Oryzias latipes: one gene and its partner. The protein of the gene in region 1 purifies or fractionates together with the protein of each later gene. This does not show direct contact. Links are inferred from orthologs where the notes say so. Each region holds a gene or a part of one and is shown in the gene's direction. Other genes may lie near its edges.

What was found.
Region 2: the proteins of phf12 (region 1) and gatad1 purify together in Homo sapiens (affinity purification with mass spectrometry; 7 studies listed by BioGRID and IntAct, with this or other methods). This does not show direct contact. The link is inferred for Oryzias latipes from reciprocal best matches to the Homo sapiens genes PHF12 and GATAD1.

The regions. Positions count from the first base shown.
Region 1 is NC_019871.2:27,106,141-27,109,962, reverse strand, and holds part of phf12 (PHD finger protein 12), read left to right. Parts: intron 1-196; coding exon 197-340; intron 341-447; coding exon 448-1,144; intron 1,145-3,822.
Region 2 is NC_019869.2:23,121,513-23,125,647, reverse strand, and holds gatad1 (GATA zinc finger domain-containing protein 1), read left to right. Parts: upstream 1-1,351; 5' UTR 1,352-1,448; coding exon 1,449-1,529; exon of another isoform or gene 1,530-1,622; coding exon of another isoform or gene 1,623-1,688; coding exon 1,689-1,802; intron 1,803-1,881; coding exon 1,882-2,004; intron 2,005-2,078; coding exon 2,079-2,138; intron 2,139-2,986; coding exon 2,987-3,170; intron 3,171-3,247; coding exon 3,248-3,438; 3' UTR 3,439-3,522; downstream 3,523-4,135. UniProt on the Homo sapiens protein: Component of some chromatin complex recruited to chromatin sites methylated 'Lys-4' of histone H3 (H3K4me), with a preference for trimethylated form (H3K4me3).

The DNA.
Region 1 (3,822 bases):
TCATGAATGTTTTTTGTCAACAAATTCATACTAAAAATGTGTCAGTGTTGTTATGCTAAACAATGTAAGTGCACGGACCGTACCATCGTCATGGACCAAGCATTGACATCCTATGTTGGCTCTTAATGTGAGCGTTTTTCTTACTCTGTCAAAGCTTAGTAATAAAATGACAAATGATGGGTTTTTTTTGTACCAGGTCCCCGATGCCATTAAGTCGCAGTACCAGAATCCTCCTCCCATGCTGCTCCCTGCAGGGATGCGACAGTTGGAACTGGTTTGCAGCAGCATTTCTGATCACGCATCTTCAGATCAGCTAGCAACAGAAGCTGAGCAGCAAGAGGTACGCCTCACCACTGGGCCTGTCATTGGTCCTGCTTTGTTTCTTTATAAGCATCATAATAGGATGTTTCAAATAATTGTTTTTTGATCTTTATTTCTTGTGAGCAGTGGCTCCAGGATGTCATCGCTCTCCAATGCAGCATCATGCGGCATCTTTCAATAAAACAAACGCCTGGATCCACATCAGCTGCAGAGTTTGATTCTGAGCAGAAGAGCTGCATAAAATCCTGCATCTTATCGGAAGAAAAGAAGACTCCAGCTTCTTTTGGAAGGACTCCTTCACCTTTACCCTGTCCTAAAGCCTCTACAGGTAGTTTATCCAAAAGCTCTCTAGAGGCCTCGTTTTCCAAGGATTGTCCGGCAAAGCTTGCTCTCTGTCAGTGTGACACCACGTCATGCCAGAGCTGCCATAAAGCCAATGGATCTGTGGCAAAGCTTCAGCCTCCCAGCCCTTGCACGGATCTAGACTGTAAGAGCACGTTGGCCTCCTCCAGGCACGCTGAGCTGCAACACAGGTTGAAAGCCGGCTCCGAATCGGAGCCTGTTGCAGGACTAGGGAACCATGTCCAAACGGAAGCTTTCAAAAAGGAGCAGGAGGGCGCCACAGAGACCTGTGCTCTGAAAAACTGCCCCACCGCTCTCACGACTCGGCCCAACAGTGGCGGGCTGAACAACAAGAGCCACGGCAAGCTTCAGGAGGAGGAACCGCGTCACTGTTCCATCACAAGCAGCTCGCTCTCCCATGCATCAAAAGACGAGCAGAAGCAAGGCACGGGAGAACCCAAGCTGTTCCCACCACCAATGGGTAAAAGCAGCACTCATGAACCAGCACAGATAAACACATTCAATACATTTTAATTAGCAGCTTCTATGTACAGCGTTCCAAATTATTCTGCAAATGCTGTTTTTTTGAATGATTTTTCTCAATACTCGATGCAAATGAAAGTCGGCAGGATTTGTCTAGTCACTAACCATTTTGATGTCATTTTATTAAACAAACCTACTAAAGACGCATATTTTATTCATAAATAAAAGCCTTGAAAGTTTACTGTTCCACATTAGTAAACAGAACATTTCATAGATTCTGAAGAACTAAAAATGGTCATTTGTTGACTTTGCTGCATTAATAGATCATATTTACTGAAGTTTCATTCCAAATTCTACAGTTTCTTCGTCAGCCTCGTAGAAGAAGTCCCTCTTTGCTTCCAGCTGTTTTCATATCTGCGTTTGAGATCGATGGGCGGGCTGAGCTTACTCCGATCAGCGGAAGCCCGGTGGATTCTTTATGTTTGTCTGGGCCCACTGCAGCTGTTTCAGCCCACTTTCCTTTCACCAGAAAACAGGACCCTGGACCACTGGCCCACAGTCCAGTTCTTCTTCTCCGTTTCCCCCGTTGGTCCAGGCTCAGACGTGTCTTGACCCGAAGAACCCGACAGTTGTAGCCCGTCTCCAGAATGGGCCTGAATGTGGTGGTTTTGGAAGCTGTTCCTCCACCTCATTCCACTCTTTCTGGAGGTCTGCAGCTTTTTGGATCTTGTCCTTTTGATGATCCGCTGAAGCCCACAGTCGTCTCTTTTGCTGCTGCTTCTTCTCCTGATACATTTTGACCTTCCTATAGACTTTCCATTGATCTGCTTGGACACAGCGCTCTGTGAACAGACAGCCTCCTGAGCTACTTTTGAACTTTGGTGGCTCACCCAGAGGTCAACGATGGTCTTTTGGGAAGTTGGAAAGCCTGAAGTCTTCCTTATATTTAACCAAACTGAACCAACGTCTGGGGAACCTGTGCAGTTACTTTATGCAGTAGATCAGGGGTCGGGAACCTATGGCTCGCGAGCCATATATGGCTCTTTTGATGGTCACTTGTGGCTCACAGACAAATCTTTAATTATACTTTTTTATTTTTTATTAGACCAGTCCTTCTCGGGCGCGATGCGATGCCAGAGGCGTGGTGCTTGGAGAGAAAAATCTGCGCCAGCATTATCAGTTTACTATTATCTACTATTTCACAGAGTTTGTACCAACCGTAAACCTGTGAATTGACGTCCCTAAAACTGCACGCTCCCGTCTCCGAGAAAGAGCGCGCAGTTGCGGGGACGGGATGTGTGAGGAAGAAAGCAGAGGGTGGGGGTGAGGTGTTGTGGGGACAGGCAGCAGGTGAATCGCGCAGGGATTGTAATAACGTAAAACCTGCTGCCCGTCACTCACTGCAGCGTGTGAGTGTGTGTTTGGCTCCCCGTCTGCATGTGATCAGTCTGTCTCACATCTACAGAACATTCAGACCTAAGATCACGTTTAAAGTCTCAACGCCTGAACGAAGCAGAAACTCACCACGTATCAACCAGACTAGACCACCAGCAGAACTACCACGAGAAATACTCATCATTTATTACCAACAGAATAACAATGTTATTAAAAAGAATCCACAGACTTATTGTACTTTAAAAATGTTGAAATTAAATCAAATGCACACATTCATTTATATATTTAGTTTTAAACAAATTGTCGCGGACTGAGTTGGATGGCTGTTGGGCCGCGTTAAAAGTTCTGGAGTTCATTGAACGCGTCAAGCAGAGATCTGATTGGCCCTCAGTTCTGTCGCTCAGCCTGTTGTTAGGTAGTTTGGACCAATGGTGTTCAGCTATGGGCCGAATAAGGGAAATGGGAGGGCTGCAGCGGGAGCAGGGGAATATATAGTTGGGAGAAGCGCTCTCGTGTCGGCGGGAGAGATTCAGGAGTTGCTGAATGAATTGAACGGCGTTTGTTGCGGTCTGCAGTAACCAGAATAAAGAACTTTAAAAGAGGTTAAGTCTCCGTGCCTCAGTGTGGGGAAGGGACACTACATTATTGTATGGCTCTTTCGAAATTACATTTCAAAATATGTGGCATTTATGGCTCTCTTGGCCAAAAAGGTTCCCGACCCCTGCCGTAGATGATTAGTTGGTGACACTCCGTTTCAAACATTCACGGCCTGCAGAATTTGGGCCGATTTCTCCACGGCATTCTAATTTTAGGAAATCTTGTTGTCATAGGCTTCTTGAGCTGGAACGCCAATTTATTTCAAATAAGCAAATACTTGAAATCAATTAAAAAGCGGGCCCTGAATCTGTATTCCATGAAAGTACAATGTTTTGAATGGAATTATGGAAATGGATCCACTTTTCCATGACACTCAAATGGTTGTGGAAAGGGTCCGTATACGTCTTCCACACCCGCCTCTCCTACTTTCACATGGAACAAGGTTTTCTTCCAAGCTGTCTTAAAACTTACCAACACATCTTAAACCCAAGTGACTATTTATTTTTAAAGTATTCTTCTGACTATTACATTAAACAGAGAGGAGCAGGCCTCTAAAGACGGAACAGTTATTTCATCGGTTTCATAAAGTAAATATTTAACAATAGAAGTAGCAGCATGCTTATTTTGACTTGTAAAAACAGCCCAAAACATCGTTATATCATCAAAGTTTACCATTAAAAGTAA
Region 2 (4,135 bases), on another chromosome or scaffold:
TCTTTCCTCATTTTGTCACAGCCCGTAATCTGTTACATAGAAAGTTGTCAATCAAATCGGCCAATACTATTATTAAATCATTTTAAAACGCAATAAATCGATATGTAATTATTTCACTTTATTTATTTTCTTAATTTATTCATTTTCTTTTGTTGTAGTTGTTGTTTTTCAATTTTCAATTGTTTTTGTTCCTGAACAGTTCTTTGTTTTTGGTGTGAACTTCATTACTTATTTCTGTATTTTGAAAAAAAAAAAAAAAAAGTTTTTACATGTTTTTTACAGTTGATTACATGTTTTGCAGACCACATGTTTTATACACTTTTGCAGCTGTATTTATTTAATATTTATTTATTTAATAAGAATCTCATTTTTGATAATAATTTTCCTAATAATTGTAATAATAATTTTAACTATTTAATATGAATGTCATTTGTGATGTCCTTTTTTGATGTTATATTATATAGATTATTTCTGAATGTCGTTTTTGCTGCCACAGATAAATGAAATTTCCCCATTGTTGGATTAATAAAGTTATCTATCTATCTATCTATCTATCTATCTATCTATCTATCTATCTATCTATCTATCTATCTATCTATCTATCTATCTATCTATCTATCTATCTATCTATCTATCTATCTATCTATCTATCTATCTATCTATCTATCTATCTATCTATCTATCTATCTAGTAAAAGCTAGATATGATGTCAGCAAAAACTGATCAGTCAGTCATTCCAGTCTATTGTATGGAAACACTTATAAATTTAGCAAAGACATGTGACCATACAGTATGGTAGAATGTTATAATAATAGTCCCTTTGTATTATTTTAATTTGGAAAAAACAAAAGTGGGCTAAACTTTAGAAAACTAAAATGTGAATGGATTTTTCATAAATTCTTGTTTACTTGTTTGTTTGCACACAAATTTATTTACACTCTATTAGCTTGCAAGAAATTCAAGGAACCTGGAAAACTTCATTTGCACTGTCCGGTACCCAGGTATTTCTCTCTGAGTGACACTGGTACAAGTTTTAGCTTTCCTGGATCCATTTTAGGTCAGTGAATCGGATCACTGCAGCAACTAAAAATGTCATGAATTACATTTTTGTAAAAGTAAATCGTTACACCCCTACTAGACAGCAAATTGTGGAAAAACTGGATTTAAGTTAATCAAAGCTCTGTAAAATGTTTGCAGCATAAATTAAATCTACTTGTAAATTTTTATTTTGGACGAAAAATAGTTTTTAAAATGCAGTTTTTATTCAGTTTCACAAGCACTATAACTAAAAAGTTAGACAAATCGGACTGTGCTTCACACGTGTCCACTAGGTGGCGGTAGCGCAAAAATTAGACGGTTAACCGACCGAACCTAAATTGCAGACAAAGAGCGAAGCTAATATCCGGTAAAAACAATAGTTGAGCGACTACGTTTAATTGCTACAATGGATGGCAGTTATTTTGGACAAATGTTTGCAATTGATCTCTCGGAAGACCAGACATTTTGTGACATCTGCTGAACAAAGATTAGTGAGTAGTTGTTAGCATTTTTAGGGTGAATCGAGCATCTTCCTCTAGTTTCCTTCGTACTACGTCGGCGTCGTTTTCCTGAAAAAAAAAAAAATGCCGCTTGGTTTGAAACCGTGTTGTGCTGCGTGTAAGACGAACTCTTCCTCCATGTGGAAAAAGGGAAGCCAAGGGGAGATCCTGTGCAATAACTGCACGGGGAAGAGCAGCAGCGCCACGGCGGCAGGACCTTCCATGTCATTCAGCGCTCAGCCCAGTAATGGCGGAGGGAAGCAGGTCAGTCAGTCAAAGGAGGACTCAAACTCCCAGCAACTTCTCCTTTGCTCAGCATCAAACCACGTCTGTTTCTTTGTAGTCCAAGCAGGAGATACACCGGAGGTCTGCGCGGCTGAGAAGTACCAAATACAAAGCTCCTGCTTCTGAGAAGAAAGTGTCAACAAAAGGAAAAGGAAGGAGACATATTTTCAAACTAAAAAATGTCAGTTAAAAAAAATAACCAAAAATCATTCTTCCTGTCATCTTTTATTTTAACCTGTAAACTCTTCCCCACAGCCAATCAAAGCTCCTGAATCTGTAGCAACGATCGTCACTTCAGAATCTGTATTTTATAAGGTATTGTGATTATTATTCCAATCATTTGTTTGTCCGTGTTATACTGTTGGTCTGCAACCTGTGGCTCCGGGGCCACAGGTTGCTCTTTTACCCCTCCACTGTGGCTCTCTGATTAAAGAAAAATAACGTTGTGATTTTAAAATATAACTGTAATGTAAAAAATAATTATAAATAAGTAGGAAAGTAAACTTACACAAACTTTATTCAACTCATCCACAAACAGTTGAAGGACAGTACATATCAAAAACATTTTTGACAGTTTTTTTTAGCGCAGTGTACTGCAGAAAATCAATTGGAGGTCAGTAAGCACAATTAGGGAGGATTTTTGAACAAATTGAATGATTTTAAATTTGTTTACGTTTGAAAAATATGGTAAGGTTCACTTAATTAGCTCTGATTTAATTATGGTTGGTTAGGATTTACACATTTATGGCTGAGATTCACCACAAGCGATAAAATAATGTGTTGTTTTTGTTTTGTTTTTTATCACTGCTAACAATACGCCAATACCCTTATTGCATTGAGATGATTCTATATGACACCGGCTGTCTTTTATTTTGAAAGGAATTCATGTGAACTTCTGTCAAAAGTTTAAACTGTTTCATTTGTTTTAAAAAGGCTATTTTATCTTTGTTTGTTTGATTTCTGCCCAAAAAAGCAACAGTTCATTTATATTTATCATAATAATAATAATGACATCAATAAATATTTTTAAGGGTGAAGTGAGATTTTGTGGATTCTGTTGGGTTCAGTGAGAAATCGACCCAAATGGCACTTTTAGCGTTGAAGGTTGCATGCCGACTACTGTCTATGTTTTTGTTTCTTTTAACATCTCTTCACAAATACAGGGGGTTTACTACCAGACAGGTGATGTGATCAAGGTGATAGATGAGGATGACGGGAAGCCCTACTATGCTCAGATTCGAGGATTTGTGCAGGACCAGTACTGCGAAAAAAGTGCAGCACTAACGTGGCTCATTCCCACCCAGGCCAGCCCAAAGGACAGGTTTGATCCTGGGACTTACATTGTCGGTGAGAACTCCTACAGAATAACATATTTCTTAAGTGATTTTCTGGTCTTGGGTTAAGCATCATGTGTTGTTTTCCAGGTCCAGAGGAAGATCTGCCCAGAAAGATGGAGTACCTTGAGTTTGTGTGCCATGCACCCTCTGAGTATTTCAAGTCCCAGAGCTCCCCGTTTCCCACTATCCCCATATGTCCTGAAAAAGGCTACATTTGGACCCATATAGGACCTTCACCAGCATTCACTGTCAAAGAGTCTATCAGCACCACCAGTTAACAAACAGTATTGGTAAAATAATTGTAATTATGCAGAGTATGTACATGTTTGTATTTGTAAATAAAACCAACTTTTGTTTTTCATTTCTCATCTCACGACTTTAATTCTTTAAAAACATAACAAAATAACAAAAAGACTATTTGAAATTTCTTGATTTTCTAAGTTGCAGGAGGAAAGTAGACCCTCCCCCTCACAGGGAGGTTTTTGACTTTATCAGCACTTTTGGGCTTTTATGGTTTCTAGCTTTTATTTTCACTCAAAAAAAACCTTTTTATAAAATTTCTGAGCCTTTTAGGAAACATGTCTAATATTTTTTCATAGTTCTGATAACACTAAGGTCATGAGCCACGGCTCCTGAGCTACTTCTGAGCTTTAAGATGCCAACATTGTTGCATATCTTTTAATAAAAAATGTTAACTTATAAACAATAAAATCTGCACAGTAAAACAAAATGTTGCCCTATCGGTGTGAAATAGCTGTAAAGAAGACTAAAGCTAAATTATTTAGAATTTTTTTTTTTTATTAGCTGACATTTTCAGTTAGTGAGGTTTCCACATACGGAATTTGCAAAAAAATAAGTTCTGTCAAATTCAGTCATCTTTTATGTAAATTTTAAAGTATAGGGGGATGATACTGAATACAAGTAGAATTTCCATTTAAAGCTAGCATAATGTATGGAATATTTGAGTATAAATGC